Caenorhabditis elegans: one gene and its partners. The protein of the gene in region 1 interacts with the protein of each later gene in a pairwise test. Each region holds a gene or a part of one and is shown in the gene's direction. Other genes may lie near its edges.

Region 1 (4,836 bases):
CGGCTGTCTTCGGAGGTATCGGAATCATCACTACAATCGTGTTCGTGATTCTGACAGTTCTTCATTCAAAAAGTGCGGTTTGTAAACCTGCAGGTTAGTTTTTGTTGCGAAATTGTGCAATTTTTACCCAGAAAGTACGGTTCCCGGTCTCGACGCTACAATTGTTAAATTCTGAAAGGTGTGTGCCTTTAAAGTGTACTGTACTTCGAATTTTTAGACTTTTATTAGTTTTTCGATATTTAAATATTTATTTATTTATCTGAAACTATGAAAAATCGATGCAAATTCCATAACAACGAAAATCTGAAATTACAGTACTCTTTAAAGGCGCACACCTCTTTGGATCTATCAAAAACTTTGCCGTATCGAGACCGGGTATCGTATTAGCATGACGAAAATCGCAAAATTATCTGGATAATATAGTAATGCTGAAGAATAAAAATTTGCACATTTTCAGGCAAAGAAGACATGAAAAAACTGAACGGTATCGAAGGAATGCAAACGATCAAAGAAGAATGTGGAGGATCAACTGAAACATCCTCGTCGAAACCGAAGAAAAAAGCCAAGAAAGAAGTCTGATTTTTTTTTTTTGAATAAATTTTAAATTTCTTCGTGAAGACCTTTTCTACGTTCTTTTAATTTATAAAATAGACAACACTTTTAACTTGATTTCCTACTCATTTCGTTAAATTCAAATCTAGCAAAAGGGTTATACGGTTACAAATCTTTGTAAAGTAGAAATATGCTTTTGAACAAACTCATTGTGGCAAATATTGTGAGTTTCTAGTTTTCAGCAGATTATTTGGGAATCTTCTTGGTTTTCAGATGATTAGTGTGACTGTTCTACTCCAGGGAACTATTCCAATGGGGTACGTATCTGGACTCGCGTCATTTTGGATGGTAAATTCTCATCTTAAAGACGTTCCTAACTCTACGTTTTCAGCTCTCAGCAGGTAGCGTTTTCCTCGTACTCGCAGTCATCACATTCATCGCTCTGTTGTTTTTGAGTCGATCTAAATGCATGTTGGCAATGAGCCAAAGAAAAGTAATTCCTAGTTTTAGAAAGTTATTTTACATTCTACAAAAATTTCAGTTGGCCATCTATCATGCTCCAGCACCAGTCACATCGTTGCTTTCGCTCATCTTCTTCATCGTGTACACATTCAGTGCCAAAGCTCCCCACGAGCATACAGCAATTAAAAACTGCATTGTGCTTCTGGATGTAAATTATATTAATCGACATGATTTTCTCTTTAATCCAACAATTCAGGTCGGAGTGGGAATTGTTCTGATGATTTCTCTGGTGCAAGTGCTTCTAGCGTTCCTGAGCCACCCGGAATATCCTGAGGAAGATAATGATGAACGTTGATTTATTTCGTAATAAACTGATTCTTTCGTATTTGTTTTTTCATTGTTTTAACACATGTTGTCACACTAAATTCGTGGTTTTGACGCAAAAATAGCCTAAGAAACACATAATTTTGATAGAGTTTATATAAAAATTCGTAATAGCGGCGCAAATTGAAATTCTATTCATGCAAAACTTCTAATGAAGTGTTTTTATTCTGAATTCAATAGAAAAATAAATTCTGAAGCGCAAAACGGCAAAACCCACTCGACATGCGTGTAGTGCGTGACGCACAAAACGCTCCTCTTCCGCCAATTACCGTATTCTCTCATCCACGAGATTCACACATGCGCCCAGCCTTCTTTTATTGATTTTCTGTCGCCGCGGCGAAGGAGTGGCACTTTATTTACATAGCTTTTTTCATTGCAAAGCACAAAAGCAACATAATTTGTAGAATTGTCTCGTCAACTTGCTCTCACATGGACCAATAATCGACAGAACGACTGAAAAAATGGCTTGCAATTTGTCACCGGTGAATGAGATGGCAGACTCAATTACGAGCAGCACACCGTCTGAGGTAAGTGGTGGCAAATGAACCATTGTTGCAACCGAGTGGCAGCAGCAGCGTCTCCCGATAGTTATCTCGGTTCTCTTATCGTCGCCCCCTACTACTATTCCTCGGCCAGTAAATACCGTTATGTTTCTCTTCCGCACTTCTCTCTTCATTATTGATTGTCGCTAGACACAACAAAACAGTTGGGACGGGTAATAGGAGGATTTTTTTATGCTGCATTCGATATTGATGGGAGAAATGTTATCTCAGATTGTGTACGGCGGCCCCGGCTCACCAGATGAGCATCGAACAATGTCGGATAAAGTGCAGACAATGGCTTCGGCAATTTATCGAGAGTTGGAAACAATGATAAAAGTTCACGGAGAAGATGGCGTGAAAGTGAGTTTTTTCGGAATTTTACTTTAAAATTTATTTAAATGGCTGTTTTCGCAAAAAATGTCCCAAAACAACCGGATTTCATAATAAGACTGATGGTTTTGAAAAAAAAAACGCTTTCTTTCTTCTGAAATCTTCAATTTTGCCAACTTTTCCGTGTCGCAACGGCCGGAAATGAATTTTTATTGAGCATCATTTCGATCTTGCTTATTTTTAGTTGCCTATCGCTTCAAATGTACCAAACTCAACGAAGTAACACGAGATAAACGACAAAATAAGCGAAAATCGAATGAAAATAAATTTCCGACCGCTGTGGCACGGAAAAATATGCAAAATTGTAGATTTTAGCTCATAGTTAAATATTTTTCAAAACATAGAATCGTCATAATTAATTGAAGAACTTTTAAATGATATTTTTACGAAATTCGGACTTTTTAGACCATTTTTTGATCAGAAATTGAAATTCTATGTTTTTACTCTACTTCAATACTAAATTCAGTATGTTAAACCAGTCAGCAGGTAAATTTATGCTAATTTTCTTCTCTCTTTCTCTATTATCATTCAATAAACTAAACATTTTCAGACTCTGATGCCATTGGTTGTAAATGTGCTCGAAGCATTGGATCTTGCCTATTTGGAACGTGACGAGCAGACTGCAGAACTTGAAATGCTCAAAGAGGACAATGAACAGCTTCAGACACAATATGAACGTGAAAAAGCACTTCGAAAGCAGACAGAACAGAAATATATTGAAATAGAAGACACGTTGATTGGTCAGAATAAAGAGTTGGACAAAAAGATAGAGTCACTTGAATCAATAATGAGGATGCTCGAGTTGAAAGCCAAAAATGCCACTGATCACGGTTAGTTTGTTACAGTTAGTTAATTGTCACCTCAATTATTAACTCTTGTGTTTTTCTTGGATAAATTTTTAAAAAAAGTATTATTTTTCAGCCAGTCGTCTGGAAGAACGTGAAGTGGAACAAAAGCTCGAATTCGATCGTCTCCACGAACGATATAATACTCTATTACGAACCCATGTAGATCACATGGAACGTACAAAATATCTAATGGGAAGTGAAAAATTCGAATTAATGCAGAATATGCCATTGCCAAATATGCAACTTCGAAACAAGTAAGTTTAATTTAATTAAATTTAAAAAAGTGATTAATATTTGACTGTTGTGTCGTTGTTTGTAGTTGGTTTCCAATATCACATCGCTTACATAAGAGTGGTGATCAAAGTAATTTGTCATTGTGAGTTTTGTGTCTGGAATTTTTGTTATTTTTCGGGAAGGTTTTTTTATTTTTCAAATTTTTGATTTTTTTTCGATTTGGTTATCCTCCACTTCACTCCAAATTTTGAAGCGCATGAAGAAATAAAAATCACCAATTTTTTTGAATTTATTTTATTTTCTTGATTTTCCAAATTTTTTATCACTGCTCTAAATGTCAGAAAAGAGATCATAATTACTGTTTAAAAAAATTTTCTAAATTTTTATGTTTTCTCCAATTTTGCAAAAAATGCGATATTTGTTGTTAAATTCCCGCAAACGATATAGATCTTTGAAAATGCTTCAATTATATTTATTGTTTAAAAAAATTGTATAAATTCGCTCATTACGATATACAATTTAAAGCAAAATTCCCAATTTTATCATTTTCCAAAAAGAATTTTGTTAGGCAAACACTTCTTCCACCTTTAATAACTTGGTTCGGTCCCCTAAAATCAAAATTTTAATTTTTAAAAGATATTATTTAAATTACAGAATGGGCATGGCTGCTTCTGTGGATGCATCATCAATTCGTGGAGTATCTGATCTTATTTCTGCTCATATGACACAATCAACCACGATGGATGTTAATCTTGCAAATCACATCACAAACGAAGGTGAGTTTTTTACGCGACCCTTCACAAATATGTAAAAATACAAAAAATTCTATATATCGCAAAATTTAGTTTATTTATTTATTTCCGATAATTTTTAACTAACATGAACTCGAATCCTCAACTAACCTTTATTGGTATGCCAGTTTTCTTCCGATTTCCATGCTGCAAAGGTGCGGCACGGGTTTTCGCAACCGCCGCGCGTTTTTTTAAAACTTTTTTTAACAGGAAATTTCCAACGGATTTTTTTCTGTAAATTCACTTATTTTCCAACTGCATTGGTTTATTGCTCAATTTTTAGACCTTTTTGGCTTAAATAAACCAGTTCAGTTGGAAAGAAATTTTAAATTTCCCATTAAAAAACCATTTTTAATTGTATTCCGTACGATGTTTCCTGTTGAAAAGTGAAAAAAAACCCGCTCCGCACCTTTTCTCAATGGAAATTGCAACCCTCATTCTTTTAAATCTTAAAATACTAATTTTCCAGACTGGCAAGACGAATTCTCATCAGATATCGAACCATCACCCAGGGATATTCCACAATCATCTGCTGATGCGTTGACTTCACCAATTACAACCAAAGAGCCGACTCCTAAACGAGAAGCTGCTTCACCGAAACAATCAGAAGAGGAAGAAGCTGACGAGACAACT
Region 2 (3,755 bases), on another chromosome or scaffold:
TTTTTCAACTAGACCCTAGTTTCCTAGTTTTCCAGCATTTTAGTGTTCGGCTGGGAGAATATAACTACGATTTCGTCGAGGAGAATTTTCTACCAAGAAAATATATTTTCCAGTGAAAAACGCTTATCCCATGAGAAAAACCAAGGAATTCTCACTGAAAATTGTGATAAATAAGACAAAAACTGCCAACAAATATTAAAATATACTCGGTTTTTAGACGAAAACTATCAAGAAACGGCGCAGTAATCCTGAAAATCAGATAGAAAGTTCTAGAAAAGCCGGTATAATCTGAACTCCACGTCAATTAGGTCACCTAGTTTCGATATATCACTGGATTAACGTGAACATTTTTATTTATTTAAAAAGAAAACCCTTCAGGTTACAGGAAAATTAGCTTTTTTTCGCGAAAAAACATGTAATTTGAGCGCCGAAACATATGGTGGAACCCCCCTTGAACAGAAAAGTCGGCATGTGGCTTTAGTGACAACTGATCTTTTGTCTTCAGAGGAAGATATTGTGATTCTAGAGAACTTTGAACTATTTGGAGTCGGAAAAAACAGAATGTAGTTGCGGAGAATGCAATAAAATTGCAATTATTTCTTTTCTTTTATAGTGACGATTTCAGGGAAAATTGTAAAAGCCCTTTGCAGCGATAAAATAATTAAATTCAACGAAAATTCAAAAAAGAAATCCATTAGCAAAGCGGCAAGATCAAAAGAAAAGTACAAGTTCTGACCGTGGAATGTTGACTGTCCTCGTTGATGTCCAACATTGAACTCGATCTTTTCATAGTATGCTCACTGACTTTCGAGACGGCCTTTGTTCTTTTTGCACGCTGAAGCTAGGTTATAATGATTTGAAGTCAATGGAAAGTGGAATTTTTTGGCAATTTATAATGAAAACCTCCTTAAAACGCACGTTTAAACGTTGAAAATGCTTTTTTTCGTTTTTTAACGTTGAAAACCAAATCGGGAGCCAATTTACAGAAATGTGCGCGAATTTTCACCCAGTTTTTCAAAATTTTCACATTTAAATACTCACTTCAGATGGAAGGTTGCGGCAGTGACGTTTACTCTGACGCGCTCCAATTTTGACTCGTTTTGGCTGCAATTACTGAAATAACAAAATTTAGTGGATTCGGTGTTTTCTCGGAGATGAAGCGATGAGAATGTACAGAACACGGATAAACTTGCGATGAAAATTTCATGTCAATTAATTTAAAATTAATTTTTTCGGTTTATTAACATAAAAATTGACGGAAAAAACTTAAATTTAAAAGCTCGAAGAAAAAAACAAAAATTTGAAGAACTCTGGCGAAACGCCAAAAGCTCGCGGGTCTCGCCGCGATTTGCCGACGAGAGTGACTATGGGTACGGTGGAGGGACGAGAGAGTGAGAGAAACGGAGTGTAAAATCAATGAAGTGGTCGCTCCGTTTCGCAACTTTCCTGCTTTCTAATGGCTTTTAAAATATATTTTTGCGAAATTTAATCTTATTTGTGAACTAAAAAATCATTACCCAATCGTTTAGAGTCTTTTTATGTTTTTAATAGGTTGTAACGACTTAAAATCTGACATAAAAGTTTATTGTTTCAGGGAGCACACCCACATCCGGCTCGAAACTATCAAAAATGGTATTTTAATAAATATTTTAAAAACAATTTATAATAAATATTTACCAGGGAGAACAACAGCTCGATTGTGCCCTCGACTTGATGCGAAGACTTCCTCCACAACACTGCGACAAGAATTTGACGGACCTCATCGATCTGTGCCCTCATCTTGTTGATGATCTTCTCAGTATGTTTCCTTTTTAACTAATTTAAAAAAATTCGCTTGATGGTTTTAGGCACTATCGATCAACCGCTGAAAATCGCCGCGGACCGTGAGACCGGCAAACAGTATTTGCTTTGTGACTACAATCGAGATGGCGATAGCTACAGGTATGAGTCATTTTATTTGAAATCTATCGATTTTTTCTGATAATTCAGATCACCATGGAGTAATACCTATGATCCACCACTCGAGGATGGACAATTGCCATCGGAAAAGCGCAGAAAAATGGAAATCGAGGCAAATGCCGCTTTTGAGTCATACCGTGATTTGTAAGTTGACAGAAAAATCATATATTTGCTCATAAATAATAATAATTTCCAGATACTTCGAGGGAGGCGTCTCATCAGTTTACTTCTGGGACTTGGATAATGGAGGTTTCGCCGGAATTGTGCTCATCAAGAAAGAGGGAGACGGAGCCAAAAATATAACAGGATGTTGGGATTCTATTCACGTTATTGAGATCACGGAAAGAGTTGGTTCAAAAACTGTTGAAGAGTTTTTTTTTTTAATTTATAATTTTCCAGGCACGCCAGGCTCACTACAAGCTCACCTCCACTATCATGCTGTGGCTGCAGACAAACAAAAGCTCCAGCGGTGTGATGAACCTCGGTGGCTCCCTTACAAGACAGGTTTTGGTTTCGAGTTGTGAATATATTTAAAAAGAAATATTATAGCATGAGATGGATGCACCAATCAACGATCAGAACACACACTTGGCTAATATGGGACGAATGATTGAGGATCAGGAGTCGAAAATGCGTCTGACGATCAATGAGATATACTTTGGAAAGACGAAGAAGGTAAGCAAAATGCAAATTTATTATATGAAAAAAGTTTCATTTTTAAAAAGTACAATTTTCGAAAAAAATATTTTCCAGGTGATGTCGGATCTCCGTTCAACAGAGAAGCAGAGTGAGCTCGAGAAGCAAGATGAGATCGTTCGCGAGTTGAACAACGCCATGGCTAACCGCGGAAACTGAGTGATCTATCTACATTTGCAGCTCAAAATCTCTCATTTTAATGCTTTATTTGCGAGTTTTGTATATTTATCTACCATAATACCAGCTTGTTTCTTCTTTTAAAACCTTTTTTCATTGCCTTTTCTCGAGTGTAAACTTTTTTTCTAGAATTATTAAAATCTCTTTTCCCACAATTTCTCCTCGCTCCAAAGTGTATGTGCTATGGCTTTTCCACAATTTATTACCAAAATGCCTTGATGTTCCTTCCGAGAAGAGCTTGAGCTTTTCCTGGACCATTTTCGTTCTAGGTGCTCGTTCGACTGTTTTGTATTTTGCAATGTAAATTATCCTCTTTAAGATTACTTTTCATTTCAATTATATTTTCGATGAAAGTATTTTATTCCTTAAATTTAAAAAAAAAGAGAGGGTCTTCATCACCACTTTGAGAAATCTCCAAGGCCTGCTCTTGCAAATTTAGTTTTCTTTGCGGCCTCCAAGGGTACATCTTCCATTTTTCCTTGTCGTTTATTCACAGCTGCGGCCGACTTCATGTACTTGCCGACTCCAGTTCCAACTGCTTCTGGTTTTGTTGCAGTTTCTTTAGCTTTTTTATTTGCTAATGAAGCTGCGTCCTTAGAAGCTGAAAATAGATATCATTAGTTTTAAAATTAGTAATAGAATTAAGAAACTTTTCTTCAAAATCTCTGCTCTCTCAGCTTGAACTTCTTTCTCAGCTTCTTCAAATGGATCCACAAATACTTCAGCTCTCATAATAACAACTGAAACCATCGGAACATCAGTTCCCTCTTCAGTTTCCAACTTTTCAATCGTCGTTAGTGTATCCTGTCCTCCAACAAGTCTCCCAAAAATTGTGTGCTTTCTGTCCAAATACTTGCACGGCCGGAATGTAATGAAGAATTGTGATCCGTTGGTGTTAGAGCCCTTATTAGCCATCGAGAGCA
Region 3 (6,264 bases), 9.2 Mb from region 1:
TACCCATTCATTCGGCACTCCTCCACGCACTCTCCACAATCGATACGCTGTCGTCACGGCCTCTAAGCACACACACTCCACGACGGGCGCGCTCTCTCGTGCCGGGTGTCTCGTGATCTCCGCCACTCGGCACAGTGTCTAGTGATGTTTGGACTCTCCGCAGCGCGCATTGTGTATGCGAGTGTGCAACGCGTCTCCGCGTCGCGGTCGGCCTCCCCTCGTACACAATGCCCCGCCCGTCTCCAATCTCTCCTCCCTCTCGTCCTATGCGCCCCAAATCGTCCTCTTCTTTTGTGTATATGTTTCGTTTTCTCTTAGTCTTCTTCCTCTTCTACTACTACTACTTTTTGCCCCCCGTCTTGTTCCCTTCATCTCCCTACACTTCTTCTTCTTCTTACCATCCCCAACCGCATCCATCCGCCATCACACACTCTTTTCCGCTGATTTTGGGAGCGCAGAGACAGAAGGCAGGCAGGCAACAAAATAGTGTGGTTAACAGTGATGATGGGAAGAGCATGGGCGGTTTAGGCGCGAAGAGGACAAATTTGAATTCTAAAAATCGACTTGAAACGGAGAGGTACAGGTTGGATTTGATGCCTTGGCCGTGAAATGGGAAAATTCGGAGGGATTTTCAGAGAACCCACAGCGATAGGAATTGGAAGACGGTATTAGAACCATTACATTAGGCTTTAGGCTCAGGTACTTGGATACGGGGCCCTCGTGGTGTCAGGCTGTCCTACTATGGTTTGATCTACAAAAAAATGCGGAAATTTTTGGCCCATAAAAATGTGACGTCAGCAAGTTCTTAACCATGCAAAATCAGTTGAGAACTCTGCGCCTCAACTCCGGCATTTTTTGTAGATCTACGCAGATCAAACCGAAATGAGACACTCTGAGACTTTTTCGTGGGGACCGCGGATATAAAAGGTCGGCCACCAAAATTCATTGCTCTTCTAGAATGCTAACTCTGCCTCTGGAACCCAAAATACCTCTGGATTTGCTGAAACTAGCTTAAAAGTGGATCAGCAGGACCTTTTCCGCAGGATTTAGAGGGACTGACCGAGTTTTCTCTTTCACGGCCACCATGTTCAAGCAGTGCACCTGGGCACCTGTGCACACAGCTCCAACACGAAAAGAAACTAAGATTTTTGCATTTTCAGTAAAATTCAGAAAATTCCACGTGGATCAGTGAAAATTTGGCGCAATTCCGTCGAAATTAGTACATGCTGGGACTATAATAAGAATTTTTTAAGCTTTTGCAGTGAGATACGTTGTTTTCAATTTTATTTTTCAATTTTTCAATCAAAATTCATGTATTCTTCTTTTGTTCCAGTCATTTTAAGCAGTGTTTTCATTATTCTAGTCTTATGAAATTCGAAAAATTGAGAAGGAGGCAAGTGCGCTCCAGTGACACTCCGGCAAATTTGAATTCGAAACTTATCTGCTTCTCTATTTTTCTCACTTTCTCCATTTAATTTCTTATTTTTCTTTGGTTTTCCTGGTTTTCCTTGGTTTTTCTTCAAAAAATTAATTTTTCAAGTGATTAAAATTGTTTCCAGCACAATTATATCCTTATTAAATCGCAATTCTCATCGGAAACTAGCTTAAAAACCTAAAATTCCAATTTTTTCAGGCTCGGAAACACAAAAAATAATAAAAAATGCAGCAGAATATACAATACACATACAGTTCGGATCCCCGCTCGGGCGGTAATCAAAATCAGCAGCTACACGGAATATCGCAATTTCAACAGAACTCCTATCAGCCGACGACGTATTCAAATTCAAATGCGAACAATTTTCATTCCTCTAATTCCGCAACTTTTATACCTAATTCAGTGACGGTAGGGGATTTTCAGGAAATCGAGTGAAAATGTTCAATTTTATTTAATTTCAGCAAACACCTCAGCGGCGGATGGGAGAAGAGAAGAGTTTAGTTAATATGCTTGACGCTTATTTTATCGACAGTACGACACCTTCAACATCAACGTCGTGGAATAATCAGCAGCCAGTTCAGGTAAAAATCGTAAAAATCGTGCGATTTGGCTTAAAAAAATGGCGGAAATCTCGAAAAATCTCGATTTTCCTCATTTTTTACCGTAAATTCTATCGTAATTGTGGTTGTGTTTGTGAATCGTGATTTATTTTATAGATGTCTTCAATACAACAATCAGTTGGATCATACAATCAACAAATACCTCAGTTGAAAGTAGGAGATGTGGTAAATTCGTTGTTTTTTCTTTGTTTTTTTTTGGGGAGAATTTCGTGTTATTCAGTGATTTTTTCAAGGAATTTTGAATTTTGCAGCTCGAAATCCGCGTGGATTTTCGCATTTGAGCGGATTTTTCAAAAAATTTGCTCAAAAAGTCGATAAGTTACTGGAACTTGCTTAGTTTTGCAACTATGGTCTGCTAAATAATTAGCAGACCAAAGGTGGGTATGCTAAATATTTAGCAGGCCCAAGTTGGGTATGCTAAATATTTAGCAGACCCAAGATGCGAAATCGAGCAGAATTTGTCCATTTCTCGAGTTTTAATGCGAATTTTAAGTTTCAACACACTGAAAACACGAATTGAATGAAATCACGCAGCGAACTCACCGAGCACACCTCAGAAACATTTCAGGACCTACAAGTAGAAGGAATGAATGTTAAACTCTCCTCGTCACCCGACAAAGGCGAGAAGGATCGAGTAAAGAAGGCGCGACAGGCAGAAGCCGCCCGAATGCGTTATCACCGACTATCAAACGAAGAGAAACGAGAGTTAAACCTGAAAAGAACGTTGGCGCAGAAGCGAAAACGGCAACGTGAGAAGGAGATGGAGGAGCTCGAATCGATTTTGCGGGAGACAAATGACATTCAAGAGGATCCGGACATCACCGAACAGCTCAGAGAGAAGAGAATGCGGGCCAAGTGGGCAGAGGCCGCCCGTACACGTTACGCTAGAATGACGCCGGAAGAGCGCCGGGCGCACAATACGCGGAGACGTATGCGGCAGATGCAGAACGCGATGAGCGCGATTAAGGTGAATATAGAACATTGAATTCTAGCAGAAAATCTGGAAAATTAGCGGAGAAGAGGAAAATTTAATTGGGTGAAAATCTATTTTTGGTAAAATCTCTCCTCCCTAACACACAAAATTTGTAATTTTTCCGCTGCTACCGTGACGTAACATTCCAGAAATCGGAGTTTCAGGCATGTGGAATGGCTACAGGAGATCCACAGAAGGACGACGAGGCTGTCCGGTTGCACATCAAGACGCAGAATGCGAAAAAAGCGGAGGCGGCTCGTCAACGGTAAGGAAGAGATTCGGGGGAATCAGAATAGCTTGGGTCTGCTAAATATTTACCATACCAAACTTGGGTCTGCTAAATATTCAGAATGGGTCTGCTAAATATTTAGCATACCCAACTTTGGTCTGCTAAATATTTATTTGGGTCTGCTAAATATTTAGCATACCCATCTTTGGTCTGCTAAATATTTAGCAGACCCAACAATTGCGAAATTCACCTGAGTTTCCACACATTTTCGATCAAAAAACCTCCAAATTTCCAGATACCATCGAATGAACGATGACGAGAAGCGCGTCTACAATCAACGAAGGACAGAAGCGTTCCGCCGCCGTCGTATGGAAGAAGAGATGCTGCTCGCCATGCCTATAGGCCGTATCAACGGAGAAGCACTGGATCGTGCTCAGCAGATTGTGGTCCGAAACGCGAAACGAGCCGAAGCGGCACGTCTTCGCTACCAGCGAATGACGCCTGATCAGAGAAAGGTGAATATATTTTTGCTACAACTAATCAATCACCAACGAGAGACAGAGAGGGTCTTGCGATGACTTTTAGTTATTTTTGAGCACGAAAAATTTGAAAATTTGCGCTAGCGAATCCAAAAAAAAACCCCGGGTTTCTTCCCCAACTCTCCGAGATCTCAGACTCCTAAATTTTGTTGTAGGTCGCGAAACAAGAACCGAAAGAAGAGTCTTGGCCCTCTCATGAGCAATCTGACACGCAAATCGACCATGATCTCGATCTCGGAGACGTTAGTGAAACCTTTTTTCTTTTATTTTTCTTCTTCTTTTTTTTGAATTTTGGATACTGAAATTGAGAATGAGAATGCTTGTTGTGTGTAGGCTTTGCGCATGTGTGTTTTCGAAAAACAAAATTTCAAAAAAAAAAAAAACATTTTAATTTTTAATTTTTCAGTCGTACAATCAAAAACGCTACACTCCAAAGCGTCGTCGCAACGAGATGGACGACATGATCAGCGCCGGACAGATGGCCGTCGGATCCTCTGGAACCATCACAATGGGCACCGGCACCCCCGCCAAAAAGGACGATATGGACGCTCTCTCCTCGTTGGAACGTGACGTCGTCAAGCGCACACAGCACGCTCAGCAGATCCTTCTCCGACAACGCGCGAATCAGTCGTCGGGAACGCCACGCTCGGTTACACCACCGCCACAGGCCTATATAATCTCGAATGGTCAGCAACAGCACCAACAGTTGGTTGGAAATCAGGGAAACAATGGGATTGGACAGCACCAGGTGCTCCATCAAGGACACATGCAACAGCAGCAGATTCAGGTGTCACACCAGGTGAATATCGATGAAAACTAGGAAAAAATGAGTTTTTGAGCGGAATTTTGCTATAAAACTCGAGGTTGGGTATGCTAACTATTTAGCAGACCCAAAGTTGGTATGCTAAATATTTAGCAGGCCCGAAGTTGGTATGCTAAATATTTAGCAGACCCAAAGTGGGTATGCTAAATATTTAGCAGACCCAAAGTGGGTATGCTAAATATTTAGCAGACCCAAAGTGGGTATGCTAAATATTTAGCAGACCCAAAGTTGGTCTGCTAAATATTTAGCAGACCCAAAGTTGGTATGCTAAATATTTAGCAGACCCAAATTTCAAAAAAAAAATTGATTTTTACTCAAATCTCCCCAATTCTAGAATCATCCAACTAATCAAACTTTAGGATTTTCAGCAGTCGTCCCAATCGATTCCTCAGAACATCTACACTTCTGGCATGATTATCCAAAATCAGGGACAACAGCAACAAGGCCAGCAGCAGCAGCAGGGACAGTCTCAACAAATATTGAACAATCCTTATAGAACCTAATAATATAATAATTCCTGTTCTTTTTTTTTCAAATCTTCTCTTTCTGTTCTTTTTTCTTCTTCTTTGTCCATTGTTTTTCTTTCCTCTGAAAATTGCATCTGTATTATTTACTGAAAATCGCGTAGTTTTTTATCTTTTTTTAATCAAAAAATTCAACAAAAAAAACCACTAAAAATTGAAAAAAGTTTGCAAAAAAAGCCCCAAAAAATAAGTTTTCTTCCTCTTAATTGTTAATTTTTTAACGTTTTATTCAACTTTCCATTTCTAATTTTCACTGTGACCCAATTTTTTGTTTCATTTTTCTGAAACCCCCATTACCAATAATTTCCAGATATTCTCATTCTCAAGAACCTCCTCTCAAATATCCGAACAAACCCTGCGCTACCGTGAAATCTGCCTTAAACCCACCCCCATCTAGAACTACCTGAAAATCCATGTTATTTTTACATTATCCTTTTTTTCCCCCATTTCTTGTTTTAAAGAAAATATTCACCCTGCGTCTCGAAATTCTTATACTCTATCCCCATCCCTCTCCCACACAAAATCCTCTCCAAATTTCCAAATATTTGGTAATCTGAAAATTTTCGTCGAATTTGAATATTGACGATTAATTAGAATAAAAATTGAAGTTTATTCCTGAGTTTCCGATTTGAAAATTCCTTTTTTTAGCGTGTTTTTTTCAGCGTTTATCTACTTTCTTTTACAAAAATTGTAATAGAAAAAAATCGATATTTGCCACGTGGCAAGCCAAATTGGGTCTGCTAAATATTTAGCAGACCCAAGAAAAATTATTTAGCAGACCAAAGTTGGGTCTGCTAAATATTTGGCAACCAATTTTCTCCAGAAATCCAATTAAAAAGCTCAATAAACCATGAAAAGAGCATTCAGTTGTAAATATTTAATACGAAATTCTATTTCTTGCGGAAAATAATAATTTTCTTGCTGTTCGCACTGGGAAGAGAGGAAATCCCTCAATTTTCCATCCCGATAATTGCACCTTACACTCGGGGTCTCTCGAGAGTTTATAATTAGCTTTTATTTTCAGAAAATACGTATTTTGTTTATCAAATACCCCGAAAATATGAAAATTCTCATGACAACTGGGGAAAATCCATAAAAAAGTGGCAGTGGGCAAGCGCGCT
Region 4 (6,041 bases), on another chromosome or scaffold:
CTTATCCCATTCGACCCCACCCCCATCATTCCGTCCTATGAGACATTTTCTTGTCTTAGTCTTTAGACGACAACTGGCAACTATTCCCTAGTTTTTTTTTCCAATTTTAGATCTCCTTGAAACATCTTTTTTTATTTTTTCCAGGTACCTTGTCAAAAACCATTAGCAAACTGCAGCTCAAAACCATGGAAGACGAAGTAAGTCTTAGAAATGGTACTGTATTTTTCAAATTTTTTTCAGCTCGACTCGGATCTCTACGATCGTGTGAGCTATTTGAATTTGATGGACAAAATCGATACTCGGAAGAAGACATCGAAAGTGGGAAAGTTCCGCGATGAGTAAGTCCAGTTTTTGTCATGTTTTCCAGAAACATGCACATAAGTGACTTCCGGGAGAAGAAGTCTTTTTTGTTTGCTTAATAGTGTGCCAAGCAGTTGTCATATTCGGTTTTCATGGAAGTTTCGGTTTTCACGTTTTTTAATGATGTTGTGCTGTTTTTATATTCATTGGTTGATAGTTTCTGATTTTGAAATTTTGTTTGAAAATTTCCAAAATGTGAATCTGTAACTGTGAGGAAGTATAATTTTAATTTGTATTCCCCCAGAATATACTTTTTCAAAAAATACTGTTGCCTCAGAAAATAGCCAAACCTAACAAAAGTAAACCGGTTCACTTCGTTCCAAAAAAAATTTATTTTTCGTAATATCTAAAGATATATAAGACGAGAAGAGGAGAAAAACAATGAAAGCACTTGGGGCACCTCGATTTAGTGAGCCACCAAAAATCCAGGAAGCCTTTAACGCTGCCCCAACATAAAAGCGAGTCTGAACGAGGAGGTTGAGGAGGAGAAGCAGCACACAAAAAAGTCGAAGATAGCTTTCTATTTAAGAGCATTTTTGCTCCACCAAACCTTCACTCAACCATAGGATTATTGCTCGAAAAAGTGAGGTGTACGGCGTCGGTGCCCCCGCCAACCTTTTTTCTCTCTCGCCCCGTTGCTCCGAACCACCCCGATTAACCCGAGGTCAATTTCACTTGCACTTGAATTGATTCGATCCGAACTCTGATTCAAGTTGCAACTTACTTGTCTATTTCATTTGCTGGTTTTTTCAAATCTATTACTGTACAATGCATCGCTCAAAGTCCCGACCGGTATCTAGGATGTCAAAAAAATCGTATTTATATTCAAGCTCAGACGAAGATAATGGGTATCCAGTCGGTATGTCTTTAAGCATTCTATTTGCGTTTCCCTTGTGCTAATATGCTTTTAAAAAATTTGGAAACGGATGCAGTTTTTTTGTTGGAAAACACCTGAAATTTTCCCGAATTACTAGTTCCGCCACCATGTTTTTATTTTTACACCGCGCAGACTTGTCGAATCTAACAACTTTTGCCAAAACGTCTCTAGCCAGCAATTGTGAGGGCTCCTGCCAAATAAGCTGTGTAATTGTCGAATATCATAAAGAATGGGGGCCAAAGGACGAGCACAATAGCATTTTTTAGGGTGGGGGGAACTATTATTGTTTGCGGGGTGCCTCTCCTGCGCATTTTTCTGTTTTGTACCCATCGTGACTGGTTTGTAAACATCAGAACCTTTCACTTCTGGCACTTTTTCCGGCTGCTCAAGTTCCTGGCACCCCATTCATTCAGCTTTTCCCCCACTTCTAATAATATCGCGTCGAATTCTAGAAAATCAGTTCCATCAAGCACCATCCTCGTCCAGTAGTGGATTTTTACCACCATTGAACTCTAAAGCAGTGTCATGGATTGATATGGATGACTATACAATTCTGCCAAGCCCCGACGAAGCTCCATTTGATCACAGCGACGACGAATATTTCACCGGAAGACGACTACGGCAGAGAAAAGCACCCCGGACGGGAAGATCGGTGACAGCGTCTGAATCGATGAATCAGATTGCAGACTTTGATTTCAGGTTTAGAAAGTGTTGAGTGTTGCATCCTGTGCTTATGTTAATCTTATTTAATTTCACATACGCTTTTTTTGAATATTGATGAAATCGTTTTTACCGAGCTCAAGCAAAATTGAATGCAAAATTGAATCTTAATTTTGAAGGCTCTAAAAGAGGGTGTTAACTTATAAGATGGATTTCAAAAAGCAAATTCCATCGTAAAAGTTTTTTGAACATTTTGCAAAAGAGTTGATATTAGGATTATTGCTGTAAGTTGCATATCTCTCGCTTTTTGTTCATTATTTAGATATAATTGCAGTTACCAATCTTAGTTTAGCCATATTTTTAGATCGTTTGAGCCCCCCTCGAAATATTTGAAAAGTATTCAAAAGGTCTTATTACGTAATTTGACACTTGGATTCATTTTCAGTCGAGTATCTTCGATATGAACTTTAATTGAAATATGAACATAATTTTTGACTGAGCTCAATTTAACATAAATAAATTCATTTGGTTCGTTTTCAGTTCTGACGCGCCTTCTCCAAGACTTGACGCTTCAGAAGCCATGAGTGCTCCTCCAGATCCGGATATCAAGGTTCGAATTTTTTTTCACTCCCAAAAAAGCTTTTTCCGTTTTCAGCGCTACTGGGACAGCAGTTTAGACATAACTGATCTGAGTGGCCACGATTTCACTATTTTCAAGCAACTCCAAGGGATGCTTGGAATTGAGAACATTTCATTCGAAACTCTTGCTCGTTTCAACGTTCGTGTCCAAACCGACACCTATGGTCAACCTGCCATTCTTTTTCCACGGTATCGTGGAATGACTTCCCGGCTACGCATTCCAATGGGTTTGAAGTTGATCCGTAAAGTTGGAGACAGAATGGAAAAGGAGAACTATCCACTGCCAGATGAAACTTCGTAAGTAGAAATTCCGATGTCTTCCTTCATAGTTACCCATTTCCAGCGTTCGCCAAAAGTTCAATGGAGTTTTCGGGCTTCATATGGCAACTCTGTCAGATCGAAGTGTAGTCATTACCACAAATGAGCGTGATGCTTTGGCGATCTACGAAGCCACCAAAGCTCTGGTATTTGCTCTACCACATGGAGAAATTTTGGATCCACTCGTGCTTCCGTATCTGGAGGAATTTGACAAGATCTATCTGTGGTTCCCGGTTCAGCATGTCAGTTATGCCAAAGACTGGGGAAGTGCTTTGAACACCCTCAAATGTCTTCTTGTGAAGTGAGTTTATGGTATTCAGTAGGACTATCATGGAAGGCGCGGATTGCGGCGTAAGACAGGTGGCGTTCCGGAGCCTGCTTGGAAGCCCTAGTATATAGAGAACGTTCGGAAAACAAAACCAAAAGAGTAAGTTCAGAAACGAAGAACGCCCAATTGAATTGGTTCGTAATGGTGATCATCGGCTCATTCGGAACTCACTATCTAACTCGGTACTGTTGCCATTTTGTTCTTGTTTTTTTTCAACTTTCATAGTTTAGGTGGTTCGAATGAGAGAGCGTGGTTTCCGTTCAATGACAGATTTAGACATGCGTGAAGGAATCCGTTCAGACCTTCTCAACTCGACAAATCGCGTTGTTGGATTTGGACAAGTAAGACGAAAGGAAAAAAGATAAATTTCGGTCTAAATAATTTGTTTCAGTGGAAACGATTTGCTGTTTTGAATAAGTATCTTGGCGGGCTTCGGCCAGGGGAGATGACAGTTTTAACCGGAGGAACCGGCAACGGAAAAACTACATTTTTATGTGAATACTCATTGGATCTATTTACTCAAGGGGTATTTTAAATTTTAGCATTAGCTGAGTTTTTCTAATATCTCTGGTTTAATTCTAGGTGCGCACGCTGTTCTGCAGTTTCGAGATGCCTGAAAAGAAGATCCTCCATTGGATGCTTGTGCAATACGCTGGGTATGATGATCTAGTGTTTTTTCTATTGTTATTCTATTTTATTTTTCAATGGCTTGCAACTTTTTAACTAACATTTGTTTTTGTCTGCAGTCCTTCACATCTTCGAAGCCTCGCGCGCACTAACTCATATAAAAATGGCATCAAGTAAGAATATTTAGAAGTATTAGGATCTATCTGGAATAGTTTTTGTTTTTTCTAAATTGGTTTTTGAATATAATAAGTGAATCAAAAACTATTTCAATAATTTCCTTATGAAACCAGTAGCCAACTAGACCTGTTATTTATTTTATTTTACCACCTCACAGTTTTGAGTTGTAGAACATCTTCATTTCTCATTCACTGCTCATTTTGGTTACTAGCTAGTGCTTTTCGTGGTGCGCGAGGCAATTGTCGATTATCTTGAAAGTGTGTTTTTGCACGGTAGTTTGTTCAAGGAAACGGAAATGGGTATGTGGATGAGTGTTGGCATGCTTATTCTGATTGTGCCCAGACATCCGTAGCCCATACACAACTCCCAATCAATCTGGTTCAGACTTCCGCTGCATCGAGTAGAGTATAGCAACTCGATAAATTCATGGTTGGATAGATTCGAGAGATCGAGTTCGGCGTTGACAATGCTTGACTCCGAAGAGTTCATGGAGAAGTCCATAAATGAAATAGTCAGAGTAATAATAGTGGAGCAGGGTTTGAATCATAAAATACCATTTTAGGCAATTCGTATTCACGTTGAAAACAGTGGTATCCAACATGTTGTCATCGATAATCTCCAGTTTTTGATTAACCAAGGAATGATGGCAGATGAGAAGTCAAGTGGCCTTGATAGATTCCACCTTCAGGTTATTTCTTTTTACATCAACTTACAGTTTTGGTTCATAAACTAACATTACAAGAAATGGGAACATTTGGTTTAGTAGGAGAAAAACTACAGTGCGCCCAATTGCTGGGACCCCCCTTCCATTTGAGCGGTTTAGGGCATTTTGGAACTTTTTAATAGGAAAATAATATGGGAATCGGATTCAGCATTACAAAAAACCTCTGTGTCAACAATTGTATTCGGATATCCCAAAAATTGGGAGCAAAATGGCAAAAAGTTGAAAAATCGACCGCCCAACTGCTATCAAGAGGGTGTTTTTCTGGACCTCGTAAATATTATGACACTTCTCCAAAAAAACATTAACCAGTTTGTTGAGTATCATTACAAAATTTGTTCATATTTTGAAAATATATGTACATGCAAAAACCCAAAACCCTTAGTCCTCCTCTAAACATATAAATCTTCTTGAACCTTCGTTTTCAGGATCGATTTGTCGGATACATGCGTCAACTTGCTACTCAGAATCAAATTCACATCACTATGGTTGTTCATCCCAGAAAAACTGACGGTGATACTGAAATTGATGTGCAACACTTTGGAGGTTCCGCCAGAGTCACCCAGGAAGCTGATAATGTCATTGCTATTCAGCGGAAGCGTGATGATCGTGACCGTTCCAAGTTCCGAAAATTCTTATACGTAAGCTTCTAGTAGAATGATATGACCATCCAGGATTCTATTACAGATTCTGAAAAACCGCTACTATGGCCGACGAGTGGAGAGCGATCAACTTGAGATGGTTTTCAACCCATCCACCTATTCTCATACAGTTGTAGAGTTTCCAAAGTAAAATTTTCTTCTTAATCAAATTAATTTTACAATTTCTCCAAGTTTTTCGAGTGTCATTATTCAGTTCTATTTTTTAAATATATTTTTCTGCTTTTTCCTTTCTCCCTATTACGCTGATACTTGATGAAGAAATATACCTTTTCTCCTGACCCATTTCATCCACCTTCTCCCTCCGTAGGTCACATATTATTCTGACGTCTTTCCCTATTTTGTCCGATCTCGAAAACACTACCGCGAAAACACAAAGCTTCTGTAGTTTGCAAATAAATAAATTTTTCATTACTCGACGATGAGAATAAAAAAATGTTGAATGAAAGCGAAATTGGAAATCAAGAATCGAAAACAAAAAATTAATCAAAATTTGTCACATGTTTTTTCGTGGAGGTGCAGGATGAGGCGGAGCAGATGTGGGAAGTATCCGAATTTGTGGCTGTAATTTTTTTTTGTAAAAAATTAAAGGTTTTCTTTTAAATATTAACAACTTGCACTTACAATTGGAACATAATCACAGACGGTTTCATTGTTATCATGACCAACGGCAAA

The links.
Region 2: the proteins of unc-16 (region 1) and cap-2 interact in a two-hybrid assay, tested with the Caenorhabditis elegans proteins (one large-scale study listed by BioGRID).
Region 3: the proteins of unc-16 (region 1) and gei-4 interact in a two-hybrid assay, tested with the Caenorhabditis elegans proteins (one large-scale study listed by BioGRID).
Region 4: the proteins of unc-16 (region 1) and twnk-1 interact in a two-hybrid assay, tested with the Caenorhabditis elegans proteins (one large-scale study listed by BioGRID).

Annotation. Positions count from the first base shown.
Region 1 is NC_003281.10:9,544,500-9,549,335, forward strand, and holds the start of unc-16 (JNK-interacting protein), read left to right. Parts: upstream 1-1,795; 5' UTR 1,796-1,859; coding exon 1,860-1,925; intron 1,926-2,171; coding exon 2,172-2,300; intron 2,301-2,880; coding exon 2,881-3,160; intron 3,161-3,251; coding exon 3,252-3,432; intron 3,433-3,497; coding exon of another isoform or gene 3,498-3,554; intron 3,555-4,066; coding exon 4,067-4,188; intron 4,189-4,291; coding exon of another isoform or gene 4,292-4,322; intron 4,323-4,672; coding exon 4,673-4,836. Other genes in the region: ZK1098.9 (uncharacterized protein), read left to right, coding at 1-93, 458-579; ZK1098.12 (DUF2975 domain-containing protein), read left to right, coding at 743-775, 826-900, 944-1,045, 1,094-1,222, 1,271-1,369. UniProt on the Caenorhabditis elegans protein: The JNK-interacting protein (JIP) group of scaffold proteins selectively mediates JNK signaling by aggregating specific components of the MAPK cascade to form a functional JNK signaling module.
Region 2 is NC_003280.10:10,867,602-10,871,356, forward strand, and holds cap-2 (F-actin-capping protein subunit beta), read left to right. Parts: upstream 1-1,594; 5' UTR 1,595-1,629; coding exon 1,630-1,632; intron 1,633-1,680; coding exon 1,681-1,798; intron 1,799-1,847; coding exon 1,848-1,941; intron 1,942-1,989; coding exon 1,990-2,103; intron 2,104-2,155; coding exon 2,156-2,306; intron 2,307-2,358; coding exon 2,359-2,463; intron 2,464-2,508; coding exon 2,509-2,634; intron 2,635-2,712; coding exon 2,713-2,814; 3' UTR 2,815-3,226; downstream 3,227-3,755. Other genes in the region: gmps-1 (putative GMP synthase [glutamine-hydrolyzing]), read right to left, coding at 737-790; cyn-4 (Peptidyl-prolyl cis-trans isomerase 4), read right to left, coding at 3,228-3,433, 3,483-3,755. UniProt on the Caenorhabditis elegans protein: F-actin-capping proteins bind in a Ca(2+)-independent manner to the fast growing ends of actin filaments (barbed end) thereby blocking the exchange of subunits at these ends.
Region 3 is NC_003281.10:343,797-350,060, reverse strand, and holds gei-4 (BZIP domain-containing protein), read left to right. Parts: upstream 1-1,633; 5' UTR 1,634-1,660; coding exon 1,661-1,843; intron 1,844-1,896; coding exon 1,897-2,016; intron 2,017-2,151; coding exon 2,152-2,220; coding exon of another isoform or gene 2,221-2,373; intron 2,374-2,623; coding exon 2,624-3,022; intron 3,023-3,177; coding exon of another isoform or gene 3,178-3,192; coding exon 3,193-3,293; intron 3,294-3,552; coding exon 3,553-3,772; intron 3,773-3,951; coding exon 3,952-4,038; intron 4,039-4,202; coding exon 4,203-4,595; intron 4,596-4,978; coding exon of another isoform or gene 4,979-4,987; coding exon 4,988-5,122; 3' UTR 5,123-5,755; downstream 5,756-6,264.
Region 4 is NC_003284.9:5,791,559-5,797,599, forward strand, and holds twnk-1 (SF4 helicase domain-containing protein), read left to right. Parts: upstream 1-1,772; coding exon 1,773-1,936; intron 1,937-2,039; exon of another isoform or gene 2,040-2,178; intron 2,179-2,247; exon of another isoform or gene 2,248-2,368; intron 2,369-2,437; coding exon 2,438-2,507; intron 2,508-2,552; coding exon 2,553-2,833; intron 2,834-2,879; coding exon 2,880-3,155; intron 3,156-3,291; coding exon 3,292-3,364; intron 3,365-3,412; coding exon 3,413-3,523; intron 3,524-3,573; coding exon 3,574-3,708; intron 3,709-3,764; coding exon 3,765-3,838; coding exon of another isoform or gene 3,839-3,865; intron 3,866-3,928; coding exon 3,929-3,982; intron 3,983-3,996; exon of another isoform or gene 3,997-4,140; intron 4,141-4,370; coding exon 4,371-4,503; intron 4,504-4,548; coding exon 4,549-4,674; intron 4,675-5,135; coding exon 5,136-5,348; intron 5,349-5,394; coding exon 5,395-5,499; downstream 5,500-6,041. Other genes in the region: F46G11.4 (Inner membrane protein), read right to left, coding at 5,863-5,928, 5,991-6,041.